Canis lupus familiaris: one gene and its partners. The protein of the gene in region 5 interacts with the protein of the main gene of each other region in a pairwise test. Links are inferred from orthologs where the notes say so. Each region holds a gene or a part of one and is shown on either strand. Other genes may lie near its edges. The genes, in order: SPG21, BOLL, CSTF2, PEF1, TFG, MAPK1IP1L and MAGED1.

The links.
Region 1: the proteins of TFG (region 5) and SPG21 interact in binary tests that used the Homo sapiens proteins (3 or more experiments, as listed by UniProt). The two-hybrid records come from large-scale screens. The link is inferred for Canis lupus familiaris from reciprocal best matches to the Homo sapiens genes TFG and SPG21.
Region 2: the proteins of TFG (region 5) and BOLL interact in binary tests that used the Homo sapiens proteins (3 or more experiments, as listed by UniProt). The two-hybrid records come from large-scale screens. The link is inferred for Canis lupus familiaris from reciprocal best matches to the Homo sapiens genes TFG and BOLL.
Region 3: the proteins of TFG (region 5) and CSTF2 interact in binary tests that used the Homo sapiens proteins (3 or more experiments, as listed by UniProt). The two-hybrid records come from large-scale screens. The link is inferred for Canis lupus familiaris from reciprocal best matches to the Homo sapiens genes TFG and CSTF2.
Region 4: the proteins of TFG (region 5) and PEF1 interact in binary tests that used the Homo sapiens proteins (3 or more experiments, as listed by UniProt). The two-hybrid records come from large-scale screens. The link is inferred for Canis lupus familiaris from reciprocal best matches to the Homo sapiens genes TFG and PEF1.
Region 6: the proteins of TFG (region 5) and MAPK1IP1L interact in binary tests that used the Homo sapiens proteins (3 or more experiments, as listed by UniProt). The two-hybrid records come from large-scale screens. The link is inferred for Canis lupus familiaris from reciprocal best matches to the Homo sapiens genes TFG and MAPK1IP1L.
Region 7: the proteins of TFG (region 5) and MAGED1 interact in binary tests that used the Homo sapiens proteins (3 or more experiments, as listed by UniProt). The two-hybrid records come from large-scale screens. The link is inferred for Canis lupus familiaris from reciprocal best matches to the Homo sapiens genes TFG and MAGED1.

The regions. Positions count from the first base shown.
Region 1 is NC_049251.1:29,798,180-29,802,361, forward strand, and holds the start of SPG21 (maspardin), read right to left. Parts: upstream 2,801-4,182; 5' UTR 2,650-2,800; exon of another isoform or gene 2,643-2,649; intron 2,516-2,642; exon of another isoform or gene 2,418-2,515; intron 2,047-2,417; 5' UTR 1,815-2,046; intron 1-1,814. UniProt on the Homo sapiens protein: May play a role as a negative regulatory factor in CD4-dependent T-cell activation.
Region 2 is NC_049258.1:7,090,215-7,093,714, forward strand, and holds part of BOLL (protein boule-like), read right to left. Parts: intron 2,347-3,500; coding exon 2,203-2,346; intron 1-2,202. UniProt on the Homo sapiens protein: Probable RNA-binding protein, which may be required during spermatogenesis. May act by binding to the 3'-UTR of mRNAs and regulating their translation.
Region 3 is NC_049260.1:75,160,768-75,164,866, reverse strand, and holds the start of CSTF2 (cleavage stimulation factor subunit 2), read right to left. Parts: upstream 2,801-4,099; 5' UTR 2,703-2,800; coding exon 2,645-2,702; intron 2,622-2,644; exon of another isoform or gene 2,457-2,621; intron 1,608-2,456; coding exon 1,529-1,607; intron 1,000-1,528; coding exon 830-999; intron 130-829; coding exon 1-129. UniProt on the Homo sapiens protein: One of the multiple factors required for polyadenylation and 3'-end cleavage of mammalian pre-mRNAs. This subunit is directly involved in the binding to pre-mRNAs.
Region 4 is NC_049223.1:68,861,261-68,865,194, reverse strand, and holds the start of PEF1 (peflin), read right to left. Parts: upstream 2,801-3,934; 5' UTR 2,675-2,800; coding exon 2,651-2,674; intron 2,125-2,650; exon of another isoform or gene 1,834-2,124; intron 1-1,833. UniProt on the Homo sapiens protein: Calcium-binding protein that acts as an adapter that bridges unrelated proteins or stabilizes weak protein-protein complexes in response to calcium.
Region 5 is NC_049254.1:7,655,820-7,659,319, reverse strand, and holds part of TFG (protein TFG), read right to left. Parts: intron 2,837-3,500; coding exon 2,690-2,836; intron 1-2,689. UniProt on the Homo sapiens protein: Plays a role in the normal dynamic function of the endoplasmic reticulum (ER) and its associated microtubules. Required for secretory cargo traffic from the endoplasmic reticulum to the Golgi apparatus.
Region 6 is NC_049229.1:31,205,113-31,209,261, reverse strand, and holds the start of MAPK1IP1L (MAPK-interacting and spindle-stabilizing protein-like), read right to left. Parts: upstream 2,801-4,149; 5' UTR 2,650-2,800; intron 2,296-2,649; exon of another isoform or gene 2,086-2,295; coding exon of another isoform or gene 2,074-2,085; intron 1,768-2,073; exon of another isoform or gene 1,744-1,767; intron 1,511-1,743; exon of another isoform or gene 1,489-1,510; intron 1,473-1,488; exon of another isoform or gene 1,449-1,472; intron 1-1,448.
Region 7 is NC_049260.1:44,749,442-44,753,704, reverse strand, and holds the start of MAGED1 (melanoma-associated antigen D1), read right to left. Parts: upstream 2,801-4,263; 5' UTR 2,756-2,800; intron 1-2,755. UniProt on the Homo sapiens protein: Involved in the apoptotic response after nerve growth factor (NGF) binding in neuronal cells. Inhibits cell cycle progression, and facilitates NGFR-mediated apoptosis. May act as a regulator of the function of DLX family members.

The DNA of each region.
Region 1 (4,182 bases), on a different chromosome or scaffold from region 5:
GCATCGGGAAATCCTAGAGTCCCTTTTGACCCAGGCCTCAGAGCTTTGGACTGGCTAGGCATCTTCAATTGAAAGGCTGCCCCTCTTTGCTCAGGCATCTGTGTTATGTCCTAATAGGAACCTGAAATTACAGTTCCCATTGCAGATTCTTATTGCCAAATGAGGAACTTCCACCCACTGGTTTAGAAGGATTCAAATTCTTGCTGTGTGTCCTGTCCTGTACCCCCAGGGCAAGTCTGGATTTCCTAACCAGATGTAGGATGTGTTCAAGACCATAGGACTTAACTCCTGGGCTGACTCCACGGGAGCAGGGGGCTTCTCTGGACTGGCCAAGAGCTGGGGACTCTAAACCCAATGAAACTCTTCCTTTTTTGGCCCCTCACATCTGCTATCTCAGGAGTACAGGGAACTCAGCAGTCTTAACAGTTACCTCTAACCTTGCGGGGTTACTAAACTAAACCCCAAGGAGATGGTAAATGTAGACATCCATTATTAAACTTGATTTACAACCTTGACATTGTAATAATGGTCTGTTCTCTCAAGGCTGGGATGGTAATTTTAGAAAAGTTCGTTAAAATCATAAGTTGTTCTAAAAAGTACCAACGATATCATTTAGCCAGTCTTATGCTGAAATCAGTGTGCACAGATGTAGTTATAGTTCATACTGGAATCAAGAAAATCATTCTTTGCATATCCACTTTCTCTTAACAAATAATAACATGTTAAAAAAAATCTAAGCCATTTGAATCTACTCAGCAGGTTCATAAAACACCTAAGCTACTTATAGACAGATAGCTTCTAGATTTGCCAAACTTGGAATAAATTATTCAGTTTTGGAATCGGCTGCAATGTACAAACCAACTATCATACATATACCAATCATACGCAGGCACTCACATGCACTGTCATCCACTTCTTCCCACAGCAATAAGTAGAAAGATGTTCCTTACCACAGTCCTCGGTATTATTCACAACCAACCCAGTATTATAACATTTTATAACTAATCTCACTTGATGGAGAGATTCCACCCAACTGTGACTACATTTTTGTAGGGGCAAGTGATTTTAACACTTGTGCTGGTTTGGCAGCACATCAAAGGTAAGATAGATACCAAATGTTGCATCTGACCAACTGACGTCTAAGTTAAAAAAAAAAAAAAAAAAAAGAGCTCATTCCTGCAAAGGGAAAACAGCTGTGAGTGGTATGAAAAGGAAGTTTGTTCTCCTAGCTCTCAATCACTAAAGGGGTATACTTTTCCAAGTCACAAGAAGAACATTTCTGTATACAGCAAAAAAAGGTTAACTGAGATTGTGACCAAACTGGTCAGTATTAAGTAAGAAAGAATGTGGATCATGAGCTCAAGGCTGATTTGATCTCTCACGATTCAATTCTTCACAAAAAACAAAAGCACCTGTTCATGCTGGTGGGAAAAGGGCTGCAGAAATTAGCCTTAATCTTGCCTACAGAAACCCCTCCTCAGGGAGTGTTCTGGACACCCAGTCCTCTCTCTGGCCCTTGAGGTACTGGACGATAAAATTGCCAATTATGAGTGTGCACCTAGAATTACATGCACTTATCCCTCAGGGTTTCAACAGAACCTGCCAGTTTACAATCAATGGAATTGTCTCTAAAAATGTTTAAGTCACATAACCAGCTTAACTAGTCAGAGGTTTTCGGAACCTTTATCTCAACCTGTAGTTGCTCTGCATACGGACAATCTGTGATTATTAATACCAGCCGGAAGTAAGTATTAAACCCTGAGAGTCTCCAGGAGATGCAATTGGCTTTTTAAATGCAAGTCCCCATAACTCACCACACCAGTAGACAGCTATCCTTTTTTCAGCTCTCTTCGGGGGAAGATTTATCCCTCTCTTCTTCAGGAACTTATTCCATTATCGTCTAAATCTCATGGGAGGAAAAGCTGCCTACTTGACATTTCTTCTGTGACACCTCATCTTGTGCTGTCTTGGGATAAAAGCTCTTGGAAATCTGCACACAGCTATTAAGTTACTCCTCAGTCTCTGGAGTCTTTCTGCTAACAGGAGCTGCAACATCGTACGAGGAGACAAAGAAGCAGCATAAGTGCAGAATTTAGAACTCCCCAGGAAAGCCAGAAGAGGAAAAGCAAAACACTCTAGCCCTGCTACTTTCCTCATTCCAACCCCAGCCCCCCTTCACAAGGCTCACACTTGGCGATGACAAAGACATTTGACACTTTCAGGCTGAGGTGCACTCTCTAACATAACTAGCTTCTTTCTGCTCAGAGTTCTTAAAAGTTGGAAAAACATATTCCTGGACTGCAGGAGTATATCCCCAGGACCGGATTACAGCAGTATGCTCTGGTCAAGCGCCCCCCCCCCCGCCCCCCACCGCCACCCCAATGATCCAAACAGACCCCACCCTCTCCCAGTCCCACCAAAAGGCAGGGTCACAGGTACACCGACCACCCCGTGAACTCCACCTCGACCTCAGACAGACAGACACACACGCACGATCACGTGCACAGTCACATGGACCAGCCCACTAAGGGCCACACGAACAAAGTCACACCCACGGAGGCAGCCGCGCACACTACACACACACCCACCTGCAAGCCTCAACACATCGCGCACCCACACCCGCTTCCCAGGGCCTCGCCCACCTCTCACCCGCCGTGGCCTCCTCCACATACGTCCCTGTCCCTCCTCCCCAAGGCGGCTCTCCCCTCCCGCAGGGGCGCGGGCCCGGGTCGCCGCCTGCAGCCGGAGCGCTCGGTCCTGGCAGGCGCCGCGGTCGGCGGGGGCGAGCCGGAGGGCGGGCCTCCGAGGGGCGGGGCGCGCGGCGGGCGAGCCTGGGTCCCGAACGGGCCGCGCAGTGGGCGCGAGCCTCGCGCTTCCGGGTTTGGGGGAGGCGGGGCCACGTCCTGAGGAAGGGGCGGGGCTGCGTGGCTCCGGCGGTCACCATGACGACGGGGCGGGATGGAGCCGGGAGAGAGACTCGGCGCTCTCTGCGCATCCTGCCGCTTGGGACCTGGCGGCCGCCCCCGGGGTGGCGGTGGGCGCTGGGGGGAGGTGCGAATTGCCCCTGGGTCAGCCCTAGGTCACCCATTCGCTGCGGGCACCGAGGGAGAGATTGTGCGAGCGGCAGACGGGGGCGCCTGACACCTGGGACCTGCCTCTGCCTTCAGTTCGCGCCCTCCTGGAGGAAGCAGGTGCGGACCGTTTTCTCTCCGCCACGTGAAGCTTTGGGGGACCACCCCCCTGGGTTACAAGTTTTGGTGAACAGCACTTTGTATACTGTCTTTGCTTGGCAAGATTTTTTTTTTTTTTTTTTTTTCCCATCTTGGCACAACGCCCTCCGTGGTCTTACCCTGTAAGGCTCTCACTGCTCTTTGCAGACTTGCGCTTTCTGGAGGATTTTTGAGAACAGCTCCCACCAGGCCTCCGGCTCCTGCATCACTTTCCCCTTAAAGGAATAGGGAATGTTAATATATTTATAAGCATTCTTCTTTATTTATTCATTCATCCATGAGAGACAGAGAGAGGCAGAAACACAGGCAGAGGGAGATGCAGGCTCCATGCAGGGAGCCTGACGCGGGACTCTATCCCAGGACCCCCGGGGTCACTCCCTGGGCTGAAGGCGGCGCTAAACCGCTGAGCCCCCCCACCCCCACCCCCCGGGCTGCCCTATAAGCATTCTTCTTAAGCAAAATTTGGTAGAGGTTACAGTAAAACATTGGCAGCTTGCTGAAAGAATGTATAATAAGGTTGGATAACATGTAAATCTTATTTGAAGTCTTTCTGTGATCCTGCAACAAGGTCCTGTTGAAAGTGGCTCTCCCTAATCTGTTTTAGGGAAAGCTTATACCCTGCTAAAGCTTTTGGCATAAACAGCAACTGTTTATGGGATTAAGGTCAGGGGAGAATCTCAGTAAATTGGAATCCTTAGTCATGATCTCTGCCTTCCTGCTTGTGAATGTTGGGTCCCAGTCTAGAACTCCAACAAATTGCAGATGCATCCCCCAAGAACACAATCACACGTTAGCCTCCTGTTCCCCAACTCGTCACTTCTTTCAGAATTCTCATAGGAAGTGGTCTTTTATAATGAGCACCAGGTAGGTGTATAGGGCATGTTTCTACAGAAGATTTTTAACCTGTGGCTTTCCCCTCAAAACTTTGGAATAGTTTAATGAATGGAATAAT
Region 2 (3,500 bases), on a different chromosome or scaffold from region 5:
TTATGATATTCAAAATAAAAATCTGAGTCATTATTAAACTATAATGTACAAGATATCTACAAAGATGGCTTTAATTGAAATAGTCTCTCAATAGACTCATATCATCTTTTCCTAGAGTATTCACACTAAATTCATTGCTATTTCATTTTCTAGCACATGTATAATTACTTCATGGGGGACTTTAAATGTCTTTAGAAAAAAAATTTCTTTATATACTCAGAAAAAGACATGCCCAATGGCAGGAGGCTATGCCTCCTGAGTTCCACTGTTCCCTTACTACTTACATCATCGGCTATTAGTTGGTAATGTAAAGCTGCTAAACTGACTGATGACAAATACTAAGTTAATCTCCTGAGTTCCACTGTTCCCTTACTACTTACATACATCATCAGCTATTAGTTGGTAATGTAAAGCTGCTAAACTGACTGTTGACAAATACTAAGTTAATCTCAGAATAACTAAATACCTCTTATTTCAATAAACTTAAAATGGAATCAATGCCAGAATAAGAATTTCTATTAAATATTTAAAAACAAATTAATTCGGGACACCTGAGTGGCTCAGCGGTTGAGCGCCTGCCTTCGGCTCAGGGCGTGATCCTGGAGTCCCAGGATCAAGTCCTGCATCAGGTTCCCTGCATGGAGCCTGTTTTTCTCTCTGCCTATGTTTCTGCCTCTCTCTCTCTCTGTGCCTCTCATGAATAAATAAAATCTTAAAAAATAAAATAAAAACAAATTAATTCAAACTATTCTCTGATAGAAGAATCACTAGTTCAGTTTTGTAGCTCTACTTCTTAGTTGAAAAGTAAGGAGACAGAAAGGCAAGATGATTAAGTATTATAAGAAGGATGTACAGTAAGCTTCTAAAAAGTTTTAAAGTTTTAAAAAGTTTGACACAGCTTGTTACTACAGTAAACTATTTCCTTGTTGTCATTTGTTTATGGTTTTGGAAAACATCTAAGTATTAGGGAGGGAACCCTAGCAAATACCTGAAATCTGTCACTGCATTTTTAACAATGGCCTCCAAAGTTCATAATGTAGCTGATAGAATTCAGTAACCTAGAATAACCTAGCCATACAAATGTTTTGATTTAATGAGGATTTATTTTAAAAATATACTGTTTGTAATATAAATTCTGAACAAGAATACTAGAATATTTTCCATAGAAACAAAATCTTTTTTAAAATAAACATTTCATTAGAAATCATTTTTATTTTTAGTGAACCAATCACACACTTAAGAACCATTATTCTGACAAATACAGTGAGTGTAACATTTCTCTTGAACAGAAAAAAAGTAATTTCACCCTAATCTTGGAAGACTGATTACAGACAGGGAAATAGTAATAAATTTTGTACCCTAATGGCAAAAGGATATTTTTAAATTAAAAAAGATAACTATCCCTGTAATTTCCAGTACATAAAATGGAAGCTTGGAAATCCTATAGATCCACTTGGAAGTAAGGATATTCTACTTAAAATAGCCATGCAGGCCTTTCCTCTAAGTGTTTACTTCCACCTCTGAAATGGTGCTGCAAAACATCTAACAACAACAAACTAAGCCTCTCTGAAAGAATGAAATGGCTGATTACATAATTAAAATACATTAATGTTAAGATGCTTTATTCTGATAAGGTTACAGGCCTTTTTTTGGTGACCAAATTCTAAATTAGGTGGCAGAAAGCGATCTGTGAAAGATGGAAGTTAAGGAGATCACTCAGTAGGAACCTGAGTAGAGTAGAGTAGAGCTCAGTACCTCACTGAGTAGAGCTGGGATAAACAAACAGGATTTCATAGGACTAAGTTTTGTGTTTTTTTTAATATTGAGTCTTTTTTGAAAATTATAAACATGATTATTTGATCTATTGGAATACTATGTAATAAAGTATAATTAATGTGGTATGGTGAAGAATATGAAACTATGAGTCAGAATACTGAAGTTCTAGTCTTCACTGTCACTAATAAGCTAGGAGCCTACAGATATGTCAATGAGCCTCAATTTCCTTGTATGTGAAACTGGACAATTACATATGTTCTATTTAACCTACATTGTTATTGAAAAGATTTTTTATAGTAAGACAATGTGAAACGTACTAATAATTATGCAATTAGTAAATATTTTTGTAGTTGTACAAAGTATTTCTGAGAAATAAAATAACTTCTATTGCAAAAAATACACTACGTTGCATGCATAAATAGGTACCTTAAAGTCAATTCCTCCTACAAAGATGCGATTAGGGATCACTGTTCCATATCTTGGGGCACTTGTTGGGTTATTCAAAGGCACAGGTGACACAGGATTAGGGGATGGAGATAATGAATCTGTTTGCGTCTGATTTGATGTTTGCTGTAAAATAAAATTCTTTTAAATTTTTAGCATTGGGTATAAGTTTTGATGCAGGCTGAAAACATGTATCTCTCAAAAAGATGAGTCACTTAGGCAAAATGTGATATTTTAGACTTTAATTTTATTCTAATATGAAAATTATAGTTAGAACTAATAACCCTTTGGAGCAACAAAAATATGGGAAATATAGAATCTATTCCACTACAGAGAAAATCTTAAATATATTATTTAAATATACTTATGTTAATTGTTTATTAAATATATTATTTAAATAGTATAAATACTAAGGACATTAAACTCAAAAAAGAAGTTTGAGAAAGAGAAAAGCAGACTCAGACAGCTGGGAACTGGCTTGGTTCTGGTGTTGTTAGGAGTTGGCCTGGAACTCACAGTAAGATTGTGGTGTTCTCTTGTTAACAGACTCGAGGCAAAGTTACTCTGTGATTGTGATGGATCACAATAAAAACAAGATCACTCCATGGTCATGGCTGAACCCTGCATTGTCCAAACCACAAGCATGACTAAACACCCCTCTATCCTGGCTGATATATGTTACTACTCCTTCTTTATCAATCACAGGTTTGGCCTCAATCTATTTTTCTTACCTTCTAAATAAGAATTAACAGACCCAAACCTAGAATTACTCCCACTTTCTGACGATATGAATTTCAGAGTAAAGCCCTTCTTCCCTAAATGCTAAGAAGAGCTTAATACAAGCCTAAATCCCATAGTGAGTTCTTTTCTAACACCCTCTTATGGAGAGGCTCCAGGGTATATAGCTCTTCCTTGTGGCAACAATTCAATAGACTCAACTTTACTTAACTACAGGTATGCTCCTGGTAGTCTTTGGTCAAGGGCACTGACAAATTAATACATTCTGACATTCAAGTTCACCATTATCTAGCTCTAAAGTCAAAGTTTTAAATGCACTTGTCAATTTGAACTGACTTCGTAAAAAAAGAAATGTATATACCTGTAACTCATAGGTATAAATCTGTATACCAAAGAACTGAGCTCAGTACATATATGTTCACAATTCTAAGTTGGGGGCCTAATTTAGATTTTAATAAATATATATTAACATATAAGCCTTTGTACAATGGCAAGATGGTAGACTCATAACATATATCTGAAAAAAACAAGACTTGAGAATA
Region 3 (4,099 bases), on a different chromosome or scaffold from region 5:
GTTTCATCAACTCAAACATCTGCTCCGGTGGAAGACTGGCAACTGCTTTGCTAATGGACTCAGGGGCATCCTCAGGACTGATGGTCTCTCCATAAGGTGACTCAATGACAGGGGCACCAGTGCCAAGGCCTGATCGGGAAGAAAGTACAAAAAGTTAAGGAGGCAAAATTATGAGCTAAATCATTTTAAGTATCTACCTTCTAGGGCCACTTTCTTTCTAGGACCCATTGTAACTTTACATTTTCTGGAACTGAGAAATAAGTGAGTTGCAAGTCTCTTATTTCTGTAGAGGAAAGTGACAGAGTATATTTTCCACTCTTAGAAGAAAGCTAGGACTAGGATCACACAGATGGAAAATGTTAACCTAATTAGGGATGAGGCATATTAATTTCCTCTAACAAGTCACTCCAGAAACGAAACAATAAAGATGCTAATTTTTAGAAACAAAATAATAGAAAAAGATGCTAATTTCAAAATGGAATTCCTGGTCTGTTACCACATGAAAAGACCCAGAATGCCTTAGTAATCCCACCAATTACATATCTGGCAAATAGTTACAGCAGTGGTAAACTAATGACATAGTTAGTGCAACTAATGGTTTGATGAACCTGAATTCATCTTCAACTGTAAATTAACTCCTTCACACCTGAACAACTCCTAAAGTCAACTTTATTTCTCAAAGATATACAATTCCCTAATGCAGGTGCCTCAAGTGGGTCAAGAAGCTATGTGCCTAACCATTTCAGCAGGTGCTAAAAACATCATAAATGGAAAAATCTTGTTACATCTTTACTAACTCACGTTGCATATAAATCAGGTTTATACTCACTCTTCAACTCTTCTTTGTTCTTTTCACTGGCAGCATTGTCCACTCGAAGGGCTCTCCCACTGAATTCACGTCCATTCAAGTTTCGCATGGCACTAAGTGCCGTCTCCTGGTCTTGGTATTCACAGAAGCCATAACCCTTTGGCTTTCCTGTCTCCCTATCATACACCAACCTGGAAGGGTAGAACCAAGTATCAGGCACAAATGCTACACACATACAGGGTTCCTGCTAACACGGCCATGTTCTAATTTGGTTCACTGTAAGACAAATAACTTTATTACTCTGATTGCTTTGCTGAAATATTTTTAAAACATTTTTAAATGAAAAAAAGTATCATTTAGTAAAAGTAATTGTGAATTATATGGTATGTGAATTATATCTGAATAAGGCTGTTACAAACAGAAGGATGCATGTGAAAAGTCACCAGTAAAAACCTTGCCATTATTGCTAAGGGCCAAATATGTGATTTTATTTTATTTTAAAGATTTTATTTATTTATTCATGAGAGACACAGAGACAGAGGCAGAGACACAGGCAGAGAGAGAAGCAGGTTCCATGCAGGGAGCCTGATGTGGGACTCGATCCGGGGACTCCAGGATCACGCTCTGGGCCAAAGGCAGACGCTTAACCGCTGAGCCACCCAGGTGTCCCTAAATTTGTGATTTTAAAGAAAACCCCAAGTAGTCAAAGGAGAATCTCACCTGAAACTAACAACAGGTCCAACCTCAGAAAAGATGTCCTTTAATTGTTCTTCAGTAGCCTCATATGGAATGTTCCCCACTATGGAAGAAAATAGACATTAAAATTCTGAGTTTGTGATCTATTTCCCTTGTAAGTAAACAGTGTCCACCTACTGAAAATGTAACAAATATCTCAAAATAGTGTTCCTACAATTGCAGTTCCATGGTATTTCGGCATGATTTCAATCTTGTCTGCTGACTTTAATTACAAAACATATAAACTGCTAAGACTAAAGGTATAGGCACTTCTAAATATCAGTTCTCAGGCTCATCTGACAAGTGTGATGATTTTCCTTAACTTCAGTGAAAATAGTTTGGCATTGGTACTTACCTGAAGATCTGCAAGTCTTATCAATAACTACTAAAAATACCAAAGCAATTGGAATTTTAAAAACTGGCTCATTATGTCCATATTTCTACACGCACGCACACAAAGAATAACCATGAATGTAGTGAAGGATGTTTAAAAATTATTCTAAACTATTTTATCATGTCCTTTCCAAAAGAAGCTTTAAAAATCACTACAGTTACTTAAACAAAATATTATGATCCTCTTTAAAATTTCTTCGACAAGGTCTTAATCATTCGTTCATTCATTCATTTACAATCCACCTTAAGACGTAAGGTGGCCACAATCAATATCGAACTAAAATGTCACAGTAAACAACAGAGGATAAAAGTCCTTATAAAAGGGCGGGAAGTGGACACAAGGAGCGTATAGACACTCAGCATATAATCTGTATTTTAGGGTAGAGGGTGAAAAGTAGTAAGGGACAGTTGCCATGCGCCCTCGATTCCAGACAATAAGTGAAGCTCATGAAAGAAGAAATGCATAGAAGCTGAATGCTAGTTTAACTTCCTCTGCCACATCATGGAAAGGCAGTGAGACCTCAGGGGGAGGCATCACTTTGCCCGCGAGTCCACTAGGTTGGCCGCCCCACAGGATAGGCAGGTAGAGCTGCAAGCTCGACCCATCACCAGCTTCTCCGGCGATTCATGAGGTGCAGGGGGCATTCCTCGCCGCACCCTGTCTCTTTCTGTCCCTCCCCGATGCTTGGCTTCACGAATTCCTCTCACCGAACACCGAACGCAGAGAACGATCCACCGCAGGGTCTCTCACAGTCAAACCCGCCATCGCTCTCTTCCGGAAGCTTCCGGTGCGCCGGAGCACACTTGTGTACGGCGCATGAGCTCTGCGCTAAACACGCTTCTGTACGGCGCGTAAGCCGGAAGCACCTGGGCGGGCCGAACAGCATGGCCCCTCCTCTGGCGTCATTCGGTCTGCAGCCGGCGCGCTTTCCGTCCCCAAGAGCATTAACCCCTCCGAGCTGAGTTGCGACCAGAGGATAACTCTTTCCCGAACTAGGTTTGAGCGGCCCCAGGCTAGCTTCCAGGATTTTAATCTGTAAAATTCCTTATTTTTCCTTTTTTTCTGAGACCAACACGAGGAATCATCGACCACAATAAAGATGGCGGCTGCCGCTTTACCATGGTAACAGGGAAGTCATTTGCTAATAACCTTAGCGCTTTGGTTTTAGTTCCGCCCTTTCAGGGAAAAGTGCTTGGTCCCACCCCCGCAGCTTGCCTGTTATTTTGTAAAGGCTGGAGTGTACCAAGCAACGTGAGGAAACAGTAGTGGCGGTCTAGGGAATGAGAATGAGGATCGCTCAGATTCAAGGCGTCACCGTAGCTGAGGAGATGGGGAGGTAAAGGGAGAACAGATCCCTGTCTGCCCCTGGGTTCCATGTGCTCTGTGGTGGTGAGGGAGCAAGGTGGCGGAAGGCGGAGGCAAAGGGGTATCTAGAAAAGGTCTTTGACTGCTGGTACTCAACAAGCAGCTAAAGCATGATTTGAACTCAAGTTGCTTTGGCTCAGAGACTGAATGCTTAGCTGCTGTAGCTATTGCCTCCCAGTATAACTGAGGGAATATGAATGACTCGACATATTTTATTACCATTTTTGGAAAACGATTTAGACCGTATGACTTGGGGATTGTGGGACAGTGGCTCATAACAATGAACTTCGCTAGTACAGGTTGAGGCATCTATAACCAGGGGCTTGTTGTGCTGCCATCAATCATTTGTAGAGAATGGACTGTTGGTTCTCTCACTTCATCAACCAACCCTACTTTACTGGTTAAAAAAGGAGGAGTGTGCAAGGGATGTTTCCTAAGCTTTTGCTTTTGTATATTTGGGTTTCATTTACAGGCCGTGTGCTAGTGACTCCTGCCTTAGTGCCTGTTGTCCCTCAGAGTCGTTTTCCTTCACTGCAACACTCTTGGAGTGACACATACCTTTAGCCTATAGATTATAACAAAATGAAGACAGAAGATAGGGTGTCTGATGTTGTTGTAGGTGTTATGACTGAACTTCAGTTACACAAGAGTATAGGTGTAGTATGAAGAGGTAAGGGGAAAAACTAGGAAAGGTGCATTTCTACACAAATGGGACTATATTTAGAATAAGTGTTATTTGGGAGCTTGTGCAGAAGAGAAAGGATGCCTGGAGGAGAGTCAAAGAATTTGGGAAGCCA
Region 4 (3,934 bases), on a different chromosome or scaffold from region 5:
TTGGAATACCTTGGACCAGGAGTTGGACAGGTGGACAGGGTATGATGGGGGGGATAAAAGCATTTCTTCTATTCTAGACACTGTTCTCTCCATGCTCTTTTTCAGAATTTCACTCTGAGCAGAAGCCCAGGCCATGTGGCCTAACAGTGATCCCAGCAGCAAGAGCCACCACCAGGCACTGGCACACACTTGGTATCAGCACAGTGCCAAGCTCACTGCAAGCTTTATCACAGTTTGTCTTCATTTCAGCCCTATGAAGTATTATTCCTCCCTTCTTAAAGGTGAGCAAACTGATGGTCAGAGCCCTTAGATGGTTTGTCCAAGGGCATATAACTATTAAGTGCTAGAATTAGGATTCTAGCCCAGTTGTATCCAACCTGGAAGCTTAGGCTCTTAATTTCCATGTTACTGCCTCTAAGATGCTTACAAAATACCTCCAGAAACTTATTAAGATGTAGATTCCTGGGCCCTTCCTGGGTATGGAATAGGTCTGAGGTAGAACCCAAAAGTGTGCCTTTTTATTTTATTTTATTTTATTTTATTTGAGAGAAAGAGAAAGAGAGAGAGAGAGAGAAAGGAGAGAGCATAGCAGGCAGGTACAGAGGGGAAGGGAGAGAGAATCCCAAGCAATCTCTGTGCAGAGTGCAGAACCTGATGCAGGGCTCAATCTCACAACCCTGAGATCATGACCTGAGCTGACACCAGGTCAGATGCTCAGTTGACTGTGTCACCCAGGTATCCCCAAAGGTGTGCTTTCTAAACAAACTTCCTGGTGATTCTGACACAGACCATCCACTAAAAAACAACGCACCATAGCAATGTTTTCCCAAACTGTGTTCCCCCAAGATAGTAGCTGTACCAAAAAATGACCAGAAATTTTTTAAAAAGGGGAGTTGGGAGTGGGAGGTAGTTCCACAGTTAAATAAGTTTAAAAATACTGCATATTCTATCCCTCAATGGCAGATTTACAAAAGCATATTGACAAATTAAGAATTCTGAGATGCCCCGTGTTGAACAAACTTATTCACGGAGTATTTCATGGAGTATCTCCCAAACTTATTTAACCACAGAATCCTCCTCTATTAGCAATACCTATTAACATTTCGTAAGACCCAACCAATGGAATGGAGCTTTGGAAGCCCTGCTAGATTATACTTCCTCTTAACATCAGCTTTTTTTTTCTACCTCTGCTAAAAATGCAACGAAAAGGAGCAAGCCACTTAACCTCTTTGGGCTCCTTCCTCAGCAATAACCTTGGGACAATAATCTCTGCTAGCATGCTTACAGGACCTTCATCACTGAGATTAAAAAGGTTCAAATACTGTGTACAAAAGCCATACAGGGCTGTACTCCCTCACCTCTCTTTTGGCATGGGACTATACTCAGTTGATCGCTAATATCCCATATAATTTTATTTTCCAATTTTCCCTGCATGGGTTTTTAAATATTTAATTTATTTATTCATGAGAGACACAGAGAGGCAGAGACCCAGGCAGAGAGAGAAGCAGGCCCCATGCAGGGAGCCCGACCTGGGACTCAATCCCAGGTCTCCAGGATCACACCCTGAGCCAAAGGCAGACAGACGTTCAACCACTGAGCCACCCAGGCATCCCCCCTGCATGGGTTTTACCTCCTAAATTAGTATGATCTTGGGCAACTCAGGAGCCTCTCTGGGCTTCAGTTTCTTAAAATAAAGGGACTATTTTGAGGACCCTCCTGGCACTGACCTAGGAGTCTTAAAAAAAAAAAAAAATCCAAATACTAAAATACTGTTAGACTCTTAGAAGTACCAAATGCTTTACAAGCATGACAGCTTGCTATTCACGACAGCTCTCTCAAGTAGACCCTATTTATTGGGCCCTATTTTATGGACGGGGAAACAGGCTCACAGAAGCAAAATACCTTGCTTAACGGCTCCTAACTATTTAAGAGGTGGGGCCAAGGGGTGAACCTGCTGACTCCAGGCTGAACTTAACCACTCTACCGATCCGTCATCCAACAGAGGCTTCTGGTCACAGAATCCCCTGGCTGTGGTGCTCTTGGCTGGATCGAAATGGGCTGGGGAGGGGGTAAGAGGCCTGTGCCGACAGCTTCCGGGTTCCGCTGCCCGCCCGGGGGCCTCGGGTAAGTTCTGCGTCTTCTCTGGGTTTCACTGTTCCCATGCATGAAACGGAGGGGTCAGCCTAAACGAGCAAGGTCACTCGTGGGACCCGCAGAAGCGGGTCAATCAAGATTCTCCCGATTCTTCGCACGCAGTACGTCAGGGGTGTATTTTTATCCGACGCCCCGAACGTGGCAGGCGCAACCAGTTGTCTCAGTTCTGCTGGCGCGGGTGAGCCCGTCGGCAGCCCCCCGGGAGCCCCGAGGAGGTAATCAGAGCCTCGCCTGATTACGTGGGGTCCAAGGTCCCCAAATCCTCACGGGCGCGACGTCAGAGGGGGCGCGACGCAACCTCCCAGACCCGCAGTCCTGCGTGACGTGAGACAGGCGCGACCGAGCAGCCTTTCGCCTTCCCTGGCGCGCGAGACCTCGCCGACGCCGGCCTCCGCGTAGGAAGGGCGCGGAGAACGCCCGGACAAGGCGAGGCGGCGCCTGGGCCTGGACTCGGCGAAGCCCCTACCTGGAATCGCCCGCCCCCCCGCACACTCACCTGCCCGTACGGGTAGCTGGCCATGGCGACTCGACGTCACACGTCGGCGAGGGGCGGGGCTTCCCGGCCCTAAGCCTGCCCCGCCCGGGCCGGGGGTGGGCCCGCTTGTGATTGGGTGGCCGCCGCCGTCAATCCTGGACGCCGGGACCGACGGAAGTGACGTTCTAGGGCGGTGGTCGGGTGCCTGGGGAGAGGCCGGGGTGCTAAGGAAGGCGTGAGGGTTTCCGGAAACCCTGCCAGCCTGCGGGCGGGGCCGTTCTTCCCTTTCCTGCCCTGGCGTGGGCTCCGGGGCTGCTCAGGCCCGGGTATTCAGCGAGAAACTGGAGTCGGGTGTTGCGGCGGTGGCCATGTTTTAACCTGGCAAATGGGGCGCCTGGTAGCGGGTGCCTTGCAGTCGTCACGGGAAGTTTCCGCCCGCGCCCGCCGGAGGAGGGCCCGGGCGGTTGCCGTGACGACCGGAACAGACAGAGGCCTCCTGGACAGGGGGGAGGCAACGGCGGGAGTACCTCGCTCTAATGTCAGGACACCACGTGCCAGTTAGTAGCTTTGGAGTGAGACCCGTGGTCTTTGGGGAGGAAAACCCCCGGCCACCAGAGTGGGAGGAAAATTAGATCATCTGGGCTCTCTTCGTAAAACAGCGATACTGTGGTCCGGAGAGGCAGCGACTTGCCCTGGTTCACAGTGGGCGGGGGCAGAGGTGGCCTAGAGCTGCTGTCAGTGGTTACCGGGTTCTCAGCGGGGAGGTCTGGACTGTTCCCCCAAGTCAGTCCAGTTCTGTCACTGAGTGACCACGTAGAGTCATGTACTTGCTTGCTCGTGGTTCAGGCTCTGCACTTGTTTGCATGCTTACTTGACTAAGGGGTTAAGCTCTTACACGTGGGCATAGGTATGTGGTTTTTCTTGTCCTATCCCATGTACCTAGGAGAGTGCCTGGCACGGTTTTGTTTTGTTTTGTTTTTTTTAATCGATAAGTGAATAAGGTGTTACGAGGTGTTATCCATTCCAGACCATCTATCTATCTATCTAGCCAGGCACTTTCCAAAATCACTGTGCTCATCATGCTACCTGCTGGCTGGACAGAGGCTACAACGACTCCATCTGCACCTACAAAAAAGGCCCAACGTCTTCATTCTGGCCCTCGAGACCTTTCACATATGACCCAACTTCACCTTGGCATTTGGTATTGTTACTGTGCTATATTCCAGCCAGCCTCATGTAAGGGTTCTCTTTGTTATTTTCCTCAAAACGTATTCCCCTCTTTTATCCCAGAAAATTCACCCAGTC
Region 5 (3,500 bases):
CTGCGGAGGCAGACCACTGACGAACGTAGGTAGCCACATGTTTTGGGGTGAGGCCAAACCACATTGTTCTAAGGAGTACTCACAGCTGACAACACCATTTCGTGGTCTAGACTGTTTCTGGTGTAGCATTTTGGGGGAGTTATTTTATGTTATTTTCTTGAGAAGATTATTAAGTCAGGATATATTCTAAAAGTTTAGAAGCTTTAAATTTCATAGAAGGCAGGTGGTCAAGAGCTAGTGATCTTGTTAAGGACAAGAAAGGAAACAAAAAATGAATTACAACCATCTACAAAGCCAAAGCACAGCATGCATTATTCTACTCATTAGATAACTGGAATAGGACACTCTGACAAGAAGGGAGGCCACACAAAGGAACAATGCGTGATGTAATTTCCAAGATGAAGAGAAGAAACCAGTTTTTTTTTTTTTTAAGAAACCAGTTTTAACATCTTTTACATTAACATCGGTGAGAATAATAAAACATGAAAAATGAAAATAAAGGGTTAATAAAGTGAGGTAATAAAAACAGTGGCAAGAAATACATAAGAACAGAAAGGTTGTTTCACCAAACGTAAAAGTTTATAATTCTATTCCTTACAGCAGAATATAAGCTACAATAGGTAATTTTTACACAGTACCAGCTACACTTGTTGAATTTTCATCTAAGTTACATAATATTCTACAGATGCTCAAACCCTCTGAAATTATAAGCAAATGTTGTTGTGTCAGCCATCTATGAATTACTCTGGCAAAATGGCCAAAAGTTTTCTTCAGATTCTGGACCTAAAGTTGGAGCTTTTTGTCTGGAGAGAGAGGGTTCAGAAAAGGCCATTTGCCTTGACGTGAAATATTAAAAGTTTCATCAAGAAAAGGTCAGGAAGATCTTATTATAGTATTTCAGCAAATCTCTAATATGCTTTGAAATACAGAAGTAGGGACACCTGCGTGGCTCAGTGGTTGAGCGTCTGCCTTGGGCCCAGGGCATGATCCCAGAGTCCCAGGATCGAGTTCCACATCAGGCTCCCTACATGGAGCCTGCTTCTCCCTCTGCCTGTGTCTGCCTCTCTCTGTGTATCTCTCATGAATAAATAAAATCTTTAAAAAAAAAAAATGAAATACAGAAGTGGAACTAGAAATAACTAATCACCAAGTATTTATTAAGAATCTACCATTAGGGATCCCTGGGTGGCGCAGCGGTTTGGCGCCTGCCTTTGGCCCAGGGCGCGATCCTGGAGACCCGGGATCGAGTCCCATGTCGGGCTCCCAGTGCATGGAGCCTGCTTCTCCCTCTGCCTGCGTCTCTGCCTCTCTCTCTCTCTCTCTCTCTCTCTCTCTCTCTGTGTGACTATCATAAATAAATAAAAATTAAAAAAAAAAAAGAATCTACCATTAATACAATTCCACATAGCTGGAGGAAGAGAGGAAGAGGAAAATTACAGAAAATGCAGTTTTATTTACACTGTATTTAAACTAAAGAAAGAAAACAACTCCAAAACTTAAATAGAGCCAAAAAATATAATCTAGGAGGAGAATCTAATGGCTGCAAGGATTATACAATGCCACTTTCCCACAAAATCATCTTCTATTAAGTCCGTTATATACAGTCATCCAGACTTTATAAAACTTACTATTTCATAATGCAACTTTAAGCATATAATTTATATGCAAACAAAAATTGTAAAAAAAACCCCACAAGTTTGTTTTTTAAGTGCAACATCTAAGAATACTAAAAGTTGAGGAAAGCAGTTTTTCAAAATCTATTTTCAAGCCCTAATACACAAACTTCAGTCTACATTTTTAAATATATTTGGTCCAAAAACTTTGTCAGTTCCAAATTTGTCAATAAATCTTACTTTATCTTAATATAAACACACTACATATCATCTGTAAAGTGGAAAAAATAAGCTTTTCTTTACATATGATTAAAAACTATGTTTAAGTAAAGTCTACAATTTTCCATTTGAATATACAAATCTCAAGTTATTTATTTAAAATTACTTCATATGCCACATAAAACACATGAAATTATTGCAATTCCTAATTATTGTAATTACACTGTAATTATTACAATGGAAAGGGTTCAAAAGAGTCAAAGGGGTTTGAAAACTGACCTATTCATAAACCCACCGGTTTAAGACTAGTTGTAAGGAATTAACCCAAGAGCACTTTAAAAATGGGATTCTTTGGCCCTGCTCTTTAGTAGATTTACAATGAGATCCAGGAATTAGTAAAATAAAACCTCCTGGTAATCCTAAAGGACAGAGGCAAAAATAAGAAAGGGTAACAAGGATGCCAACGTGCTCCTACATAAACAGTTTTTTAAAAAATCTGCAAAATGATACGAATATATAGAGTATAATGCTAGGCAAAAAGTCAAAGACAAATATCATTTCACTCATATGTGGAATTTAAGAAAGAAATATGAACAAAGGGGAAAAAAAAAAGAAACTAAAAAGATTCTTAACTACAGAGAACTGACGGTTACCAGAGGGGAGGTGAGCTAAACAGATGATGGGGATTTGCTTGTCATAATGAGCACTGGCTGATGTATGGAATTGCTGAATCACTATATTATACACCCAAAATTAATATAATACTGTAAACTATATTGGAATTAAAATAATAACAATAAATTTTTTTAGAAAGACAAAGGAAGAATAAAGCAGAATAAAATGGATTCACAGTCTACCATTTTCAGGAATACTGCCGGAAGGTCCTGGCTCTCCAGGTGGTTCCAAGCTATCCAATAAGCGGTTCACTTTATTTCTCAGTTCTATCAGCTCTCGACGGAGATATTTCACCTGACTGGATTCAAGGGGTCTTGGCTGGCCATTAACTGGAATAAAAACATTAATTTGCTTAAAATTAGGCAATGTTCTTAATATATCAACACAATAACAGCAATAAGAAAAAACAAATGTAATTTCTTTAAAAAGAGAAACAAAAACAAGATACCAAATGATGTCATTTAAATGAGAACTCTTTTTAAGGAAAGAATTATTACTAATAATTATTACTATTATTACTATTACTATTATTACTAATAGTTTACTTTTTGAAAAAACAAATATTAATCTGTCTTTGTTGATGCACATCTATGGCCTATGATAATGTTGGTTAAAAAAAGTTTTATTAGGAGAAACTACAATAAACTAAAATTTTAATATATATTTTAATAGAAATTATGTACCTTCAAAAGCTCACTTTTTTTCTCCACACTGTTCTTTTTATATTTTTGAAGTAATATAATAAACACCTTATTCTATACATATATGTTAAAAGCTACAACGTGACTGACAGGTCTGTTATCCCCCTTGCCTATTTTTGACCTAAAAAAATAGCCACCTAAAATAACTGACCTAAAAAGTAACCTATTAAAAAAAAAAAAAAAAAGCAGAATTCTTGAATCCAAATCACTACTGTTCTTCAAAGTAGTTACTTCCAAAAGCAGTATACTAACTATAAAAAGTCAGAGATATTTAATAATCATTGGAGTTTTT
Region 6 (4,149 bases), on a different chromosome or scaffold from region 5:
TTGGACAACTCAAGGAACTGAGGACTTAGTAAAGTTTTTGAATATTCTTAAGCTTTTGAAAGACATAATTTTTATTTTTTTAAAAGATTTATTCATACATGAGAGACACAGAGAGAGGCAGACACAAGTAGAGGGAGAAGCAGGCTCCCCGCGGGGAGCCCGATGTGGGGACTTGATCCCAGGACTCTGAGATCACAACTGGAGCTGAAGGCAGATGCTCAACTGCTGAGCCACCCAGGCGTCCCAAAAGACATAATTTTTTAAAGTATCATTTTTTTTATACTTATGCCTGGAATATACACACCAGGCACTGTCTTGTTAGGCTTTGGGGAAATGAAGAGTACTACACAGAATAGACATTTAAGGAATTCACAATCTGGTGAACTACCCTTTATTTTTTTTTTTAAAGTTTATTTATTTATTTATTTATTTATTTATTTATTCATTCATTCATGACAGGGAGAGAGAGAGAGGCAGAGACACAGGCAGAGGGAGAAGCAGGCCCCAGGCAGGGAGCCCGATGCAGGACTCCATTCTGGGACTCCAGGATCACACCCTGAGCCAAAGGCAGGTGGTAAACCGCTGAGCCACCCAGGAACCCCCCTGAACTATCCTTTAAATAGTAACTACCTTACTTTGGGTAAGCCCAGGGCACCAAGTTGAGTACCTAAAGGGCACCTAAAGGAATCAAGGAAAGGAGAATAAGGGGAGGAACCCTGAGAAGAGGTTCCTTTGCAGTCTGGGAGAACAATGAAGAGCTGGCAGTAGGGGATGATGGGACAGGCCCCGGGAAAGAGCAGACCGTGCAAAAGCTAAAGCAGGCAAGAATACGCTATGGGAAATATAAGCAGTTCGAATTGGTTGGAATACAGAGAGGGGAGGGATAGAAGTTTTAGCAGAGAGCCTTTAAACTGAGGTTTGAATGTCTCAATCAGATTCAGCTCACCCCAGTGACTCAGTTTCTTCAACTATAAAAGGGCTAGTGATGCGAAAGACTAAATGGTATTCATAAATTAAGTGTCTATAATAACAGTGCTCTAAAAAATAGTGGATGGGCAACAGATATATATTCCCTTGTCTTTCTTCCTACATGGGCATGGCAGCAGAGATTAAAAGAATGACCCTGAAAGTTATGGCTGCGTAGATAAAACCCTAGCTCTTCACTGGCAGGTGATGGACAGGTTGAATTCTTCAAACTCCAGAGGTTTAAGTACACAGGAGTAGTATCCACCTTGCAGACCTGCCCCCAGACTGACAAAATAAATCTCCTGGTCTCTCTCTGGCACTCAAGGAAAACTCAACAAACGTTAACTTTTACAATCGCGGTCACAGGCCTGCAAACCTTTATCTGCAGTTCTCGATTTGGAAACTTCTGAAAAGAAAAGGAAAATTCCAGAATTTGGCATAAAACTTAGTTGGGTGGCAAAACGTGACCTGAGGATATTTACAGTTTCCATGAAGTCACGCCTATCCCTGCACCATTATTACCGTAGTCTCAGGGATGCTGCTGGGACCTTGTGAGGGTGACACCTCTGGCCTACGCATCTTACTCTTTCTAAAATCTAAAGACACAATTCGAAGATTGCTGAATTCCAAAACATACCGGCCCCGAGCCTTGCAGTTAAGGAATGGGTCTCTCTCTGTTCCTTCTGGAGAGAAGAAAAGAACATTCTCACACACACAACCCAACTCAAGTCGCTGAGACAAACTAGTTTTAAATAGGAGGTTCAGAGACGCCAGTACCAGAAAAATTCCTGTTGCTGCCCAGTGAATACAGCCGAACAAAGAACTTCTGAAAGCTCTCCGAAGGCTACCTTGGCCTGTAAAAGGAGGCTCCTTTACAGAACATGCCTTCACAACCATCAGGTGTGTAAGAGTGTGTATTTCTTCAGCAGTAATTTTTTTTTTTTTTTCCCGTCAGGGGAATACGGTCTGATGCCTCAACATTAGAAATTTTTAACCAGTAAAAGCACTGCTTTTGGTTTTCGAAGAGGAAACGGCTCAGCTATTTATAAGCTTCCATGCGTAACACAAGCCCCCAAATCCTAAGAAAGAGAGTGTCGCCGAACTCACGGCTTCTGTCATGTGTATTCGTCGAATAGGATCTGTGTAGCAACTCCTTCGGCAACTAACGACCGGAACGTTGTCACACGGCGGACAATCTGATTAAACAAGTGCCAGATTCCTCCAAGGCTGTTCAGGCCCCTCGCTCCCGTTTTATTAGAAATTAATGAATGGGGGAGGGGACCGAGGGGGCGCGAGCCGGGAAGCCTTCAGGGCCCAACGAACAAAGGGAGTCCGGGATCAACCGGAGCGAACCGGCCGCCGAGCGGGTCGCGCCGCCCGGAAAGGGGTGGGGGTGGGGAGGGTGGGGGAGGGGCCGGGCCCTCTCGCCGCCCCGCCCCCAAACCCGGCCTGACGTCAAGTGCGGAGAAACCCGTCCGGCGCGACGTCAGCCGCCTCCGACGCCTCCTCCCGGGGGGCGATCGGGGGGCACCTCGCAGCCTGAGGGAAGATGGCGGGGGCCGACGTTTAGTCCCGGCCCCTGAAGAGGCGACTCGAGGTTCCTCTGTTACCGCGCCCGTCTCCCGCTTGGGCGTGCTCCCCTGCCCCCCTCCACGATACCCACTAGCGCCGAGGCAGCCTCACCCGGCCAGATCCGAGCCCGCAGCAAAGTCTAGAAGCGGCGATGGGTCCGGGGGAATCGGGTGCTGAAGAACCGAACGCGGACTGACTGACGAGCGCGGCGGCGGCGGTGGCGGCGGCAGCAGCGGCGGCGGTGGCGGCGGAGGCGGAGGCGGCGGCGGCGGCAGCGGCAGCACTAACAGCGCGCGGCTCCTCCTGGCGCCGGAACAGGAAGCGCCGAGCGCGCCGCCCCCGCGCGCTCTCCCCCCTCCTCCCCGGGCCGGGTGCGGCCGCGGGCGCCCCCCGCAGGCTTCGCGCTGCACTGCGGCCTGCCCGGCGGGGCGGGGCGGGGCGGGGCGGGGCCGGGCGGCTGCTCCTCCCGCTCGCCCCGGGGCGGCTGTTTTCCTCCCGCGGGAGGGAGGACCGCTCCCCGGTTTTCCGGAATTCTGAGCCCTCGGAGGAAATGCCTGTAGCCAGTGACGTTCTGGGCACCTCGGCGGAAACTGCTAGCTTGTTTCCTGGACTGGTTTGAGGACTGCTTCTGGATTTCCTACGCTTAGAGATTTTTACAGCCGGGCTTGGATGCCGGCTGGCTGTGAATGCGGCCAACCAGTGAATCCCGGCCCTCGGGCCGAAATTGGGGAGCGCTACAGGAGCCATACGGGGAAGGGGGCCCCACATGTTCATCTTTGAAAGAACCTTTACCTACTTTGGGTCAGGTCTGTAGGATGATTGACACATTCCCCCGGCTGTCAAGGAATCTGCCGTAATTATATAGTGTGCAAAATGTATATACATACAGTATGTACATAGATTTTTATATGTAAAACTACACTAGAAATATGCGGTATCAGTACATTTTGCTTCTTTGGGTAACCCCTTAGTGGGTCACTGGGCAGGGGCATTTTATTAGAAACGTCTTAAAGGAAGACTTATTCCTGGGTATGCTCCACCAGAACCCACACTTCTCCTACTGGAAAAGAGGCAATAGAGAAACTGCAAATACCCAAGCCTGGGGAAGACCTATTTTTGGACAGGGAAAATGGTCTATGGAAAATGACATTAGTGTGAACAACTTACCCTGCCGTCAGGAGGCAGTGAATCTGTAATGCCTTATGGAGCTATAAGGAATCCTGAGTCAGCAGACGTCAGTAAAACTATATTTAAAATCTTGACCTGGGACGCCTGGGTGGCTCAGCAGTTGAGCGTCTGCCTTCGGCCTGAGCGGTGATCCTGGAATTCCGGGATCGAGTCCCCCATCGGGTTCCTGTATGGAGCCTGCTGCTTCTCCTTCTGCCTATATCTCTGCCTCTTTCTGTGTCTCTCATGAATAAAATCCTAAAAAATAAAATCTTGACCTTTTTTCATTAGGTTGTTGTTTTAATTCTGATTTTTTAAAAATTTATTCATGAGACACAGGCAGAGAAAAAGGCAGAGGGAGAAGCAGGCTCCCCGCTGAGCTGGGATTCCCAATGTAGAACTTGATCCCAGGACTCCAGACCCCAGGATGACGATGCTCAACCT
Region 7 (4,263 bases), on a different chromosome or scaffold from region 5:
CTATATACATATGATATATATTATAAAAGGACATCCATTATAACAGTGGTACTTATATAAGGATAGAAAAATTAACCAAACAGAACAAAATTCAGAAGAAATAAACCCACATAAATAACTTAGTCATTTGATTTATGAAAAACATGACTCTATAGGAGGGAAATAGCTATCTTTTCAATAGTGATATTAGGTTGATTAAATATCTGCTTTTTTAAAGAGTGGGAGCATGAGGTGAAGTGGGGGCACAGAGGGAGAGGCAGAAGTAGACTCTCCGCTGAATAAAGAGTCGAATACAGGGCTTGATCCCAGGACCCTGGGATCATGAAATGAGCCAAAGGCAGACATTTAACCGACTGAGCCACTCAGGCACCCTTGAATGTCCATTTCAAAAAATGTACAAAAGGGGGGCCTTTACGCATACCAATAACTCATACTGAAAACATACAAAGAAATCAATTACAAATAAATTGTGAATACAAATGAAAGATCAAACAATACCACCACATAGGTTAAGCAGGCTCCCTGTAGGAAGCCTGATGCGGGACTCAATCCCAAAACCCAAGGATCACGACCTGAGCCAAAGGCAGATGCTCAACTACCTAGTCACCCAGGCATCCCAGGGCCAACTATATTTAAAAGATTGCCTGTACAGACAGACAAGTACTCAATTCCTCCAATTTAACATACCAAACATTTATGGGCAACATATCATGAGCACACAGTGATAAGAGCAGTGAGAGAGGTAAGCAAATATGCTGTAGGATAGCACACAATGCACTGCGGATAAAAGATTGAAGAAGACGTGAGGATGGATGTAAAGATACGTCTTCTAGACGTATTAGGTATGTAACTAACAACATACCTAAATGTATGTAAAGACATGTCTTCCTAGAGGGCTGGTAACTAACAACATACCTAATTGATAGCAAGAAGCTCGCCAAGATTAAAAAACAAAAGAATATGGGAAATGTATGTGCCTGGATTAGGTTATTTCAGTATGTAGAGTGCTACATTAAAGCCATGCAAAAAAGTGACAATGGGCAAGGGGGGTGTGGAAGCAGAGTGAACAAATACAGAGACACCAACATAAGATATATCCTGTTTTTCCCATTAATAGCTGTACATAGTTCGTGCCCTCACTTCCTTTAGGTTTCTGCTCAAATGTTGCCTTACCAGGGAAGCCTTCCTCACCATCCCTATTTAAAATACTACATCTCCTCTCCATTACAACTTACTCATATTTACTATATATTCATTTACTGTCTCTCAACTAAAGTTTAATAAGCTTTTTATTTTCCACTGTTGTATCCTCAGTGCTTAACACTGTCTGACACATAAAGTTATTCAATAAAAAAATTCTTAGATGAATAAATGATGGTTGCACACTGGGTTGAAGCCGTGGGATATTTAAATGCTGTGTTACTATAACTTGACTAGAGAATACAGAGACATCAGCAATACCCTTCAAAAAAGTTTTTAAGTGTTTTAGTATCATGAAGTCGAGCCTGACTTTTTTCTAAACGAACTGAAAATTACACCTAGCCCAGAAAAAGATTTACGTCTTATTTTGGCAAGTATAACACACTAGTTACAGGAGGAAAGGAATAAATTGCTTGTTCAAGGGAATTCTTGGTGAATAAATTCCTCTTTAGAGCCTGAATAATCCTGACACTCATTTTAAGTTTAATGATCATATCCCCTCTCTTGGGTAAAAAATTGAATAATAAATTGTGATTAACTAACGTTCTCACGAGACAAAGTAAACATGATGAATGGAACAGAAAAATATATTTCACCTTGCACGAAATAGAGAATACTTGCGAAGTTCCCAGGAAAACTTTGAAAATCTGTCAGCTTGCTGTTCAATGTTGCCACCAAAGACCAGAAAAAGATTTGAATAGGCATAACTCATATGAAAAAATAAATTTGTGATTGGATGTCATATCCGTCAACCATTTCTGTCCTATGACAAGTTCTAAAGGAGATGGGAAAGCTTCGACCATCAAGAATTGACACAAGTTTTACAGGCAAAACCCCTATGACTGCTCCTCTAAAAAGTGGGGATTGAGTTCTGTGCCAATTTTTTTTTTTTTTTATGTCAGGAGGGTTAAAATCAGTGCAGTTTCTGATGTATCATTTTGGTTAAGAGTAAAAATAAACTCAGCAATAATATAATAATCTGAACAAGCTCCTGTGTCTTAGGACTAAAATTTCTGCCACTGCTTATTTTAAGGAAATAAAAGAGTTGACCTTGAAACTGAAGTCACACCTGGTTTTGGCAAGTTTTTAATTCAAAGGACTCTGAAAGAGGCGGGCAGGAGGGGCGGGGGGGGTGGAAAGTAAAGTACTGGAGCTGAAGAAAAAGGAAGGGCGTAGATTCCTAACGGGAGAAGGGGGTTGCAAAAGTTTTGAGGCTAAAAGGGGCCGGGGAAGAAGGTGGAAGTTAAGAGGTAGGAAAAAAATCTGTGGTAGAGGAAATGGCCCAGGCTCAGAAATATCAGGAAGAGGATCTGGGGTAACGAGGAGAGGTGAAGAATGACCAGGGATAAAAGGACAAAAATAGAGAGGGAGGACAGCCTGCCATCTTCAGAATAGGTAGACAGGCGACCGGAACCATAAGCGTCAGAAACATCCTTCACACAATGTGCTCTGGGGATGAAATCTTTCCACCCCATGTTGAAGCAAGGAGGAAAGCTTCCCGGGAGGGTTTGGAGACTCACTTGTGAAAATTATGAGCCTCTTTCTTTCCACTCACCTCAGTGAAGAAAGCCCCGACACAACGATGGCGTAACCGGAAGCGCTATTTTCCTTCGTTTGGCGGAAACTTATTTTCCGACGCCACGCCCCCTTTACAGGCAACTTCCTGTGCCTCTCTAGCAAGCTTTTACAATACTTTATTGCTCTGGCTTTCAGCGTATCAGAAGCTGGTTAGTGATGTGAACCGGCTCAGAGACAGTAACTTTTTACTAATTAAAGCTCTAGGGTCGCCTGGGTAGTTCAGCGGTTTAGAGCCTGCCTTTGGCCCGGGGCGTGATCCTGGAGTCCCGGGATTGAGTCCCATATCGGGCTCCCTCTCCCTCTGCCTCTCTCTTTCTGTGTCTCTTATGGATAAATAAAATCTTTATTTTTTTAAAGATTTTATTTATTTATTCATGAGAGACACACAGAGAGAGGCAGGCAGAGACACAGGCAGAGGGAGAAGCAGGCTCCACGCAGGGAGCCCCATGTGGGACTCGATCCCGGGTCTCCAGGATCACACCCCGGGCTGAAGGCGGCGCTAAACCGCCGAGCCACCGGGGCTGCCCTAAAATCTTTAAAAAAAAGAAATTTTAACTCTAGTCATCCGAAGAACTGCATTATTTCAGCCAAACCCCACATATCCAAATTTGTCACCTCGCCTTATTGATTTAGCCCTTAAAATACCTTCCTAACCCTTAGTGCCTTGACTCTTGGATGCCAACAGTTATGTATTTGCCATACTGGTTTACCATTTTCTAACATACCATGTTGAGTAAAAAGTTCATTTTTATAAGTGGCATACTTCGATTTCGAGATTTTAAAAAATCTTAGATCTGAATCATTTTTGTCTCGGAATAGTATCCAAAGAGTTACATGCTATACTCAAATTAACAAATAAAGGTAAATTCATCTAGAAAGCATTCTTGTATATGTATATACCCCCCCCAAGAAAATGACAACTGACAAAATTTTCTTTTTTTAAGATTTTATTTATTTATTTATTTATTATGAGAGACACAGGCAGAGGGAGAAGCAAGCTCCATGCAGGAAGCTCGACGTGGGACTCGATCCGGGGTCCCCAGGGTCATGCCCTGGGCTGAAGGCAGGTGCTAAACCGCTGAGCCACCCAGGGATTCCCAAAATTTTCAATAATAAGAATAATCCTTACTCTGGTTAAAAGTTCAATATTGAATCACCTATTGCCACTACCTCCAGAAAACACTGGGTCCAAAATCTGTACCTGTTTTCCTTTTTTGTGGTTATTTTCAGTCAATCTACTACTATACAGTGAGCATCTACCATGTCCCAAATACTGCGCTACACTCATGGGCATTGCAGTAGGAACCCACAGCTTAGGAGCTAAACGTGACATTTTAAACACATAAGAGCCTGGCATAAAATAGGTGATTATTGATGTTTGTCAGATGAATAAATAACCAAAATGTGATCAGGGAAATGACAGGGGCCAGCACCAGGTTCTTACTTTTGATGGTATTTTTATAGTTCATTTCAACATTTTAACTC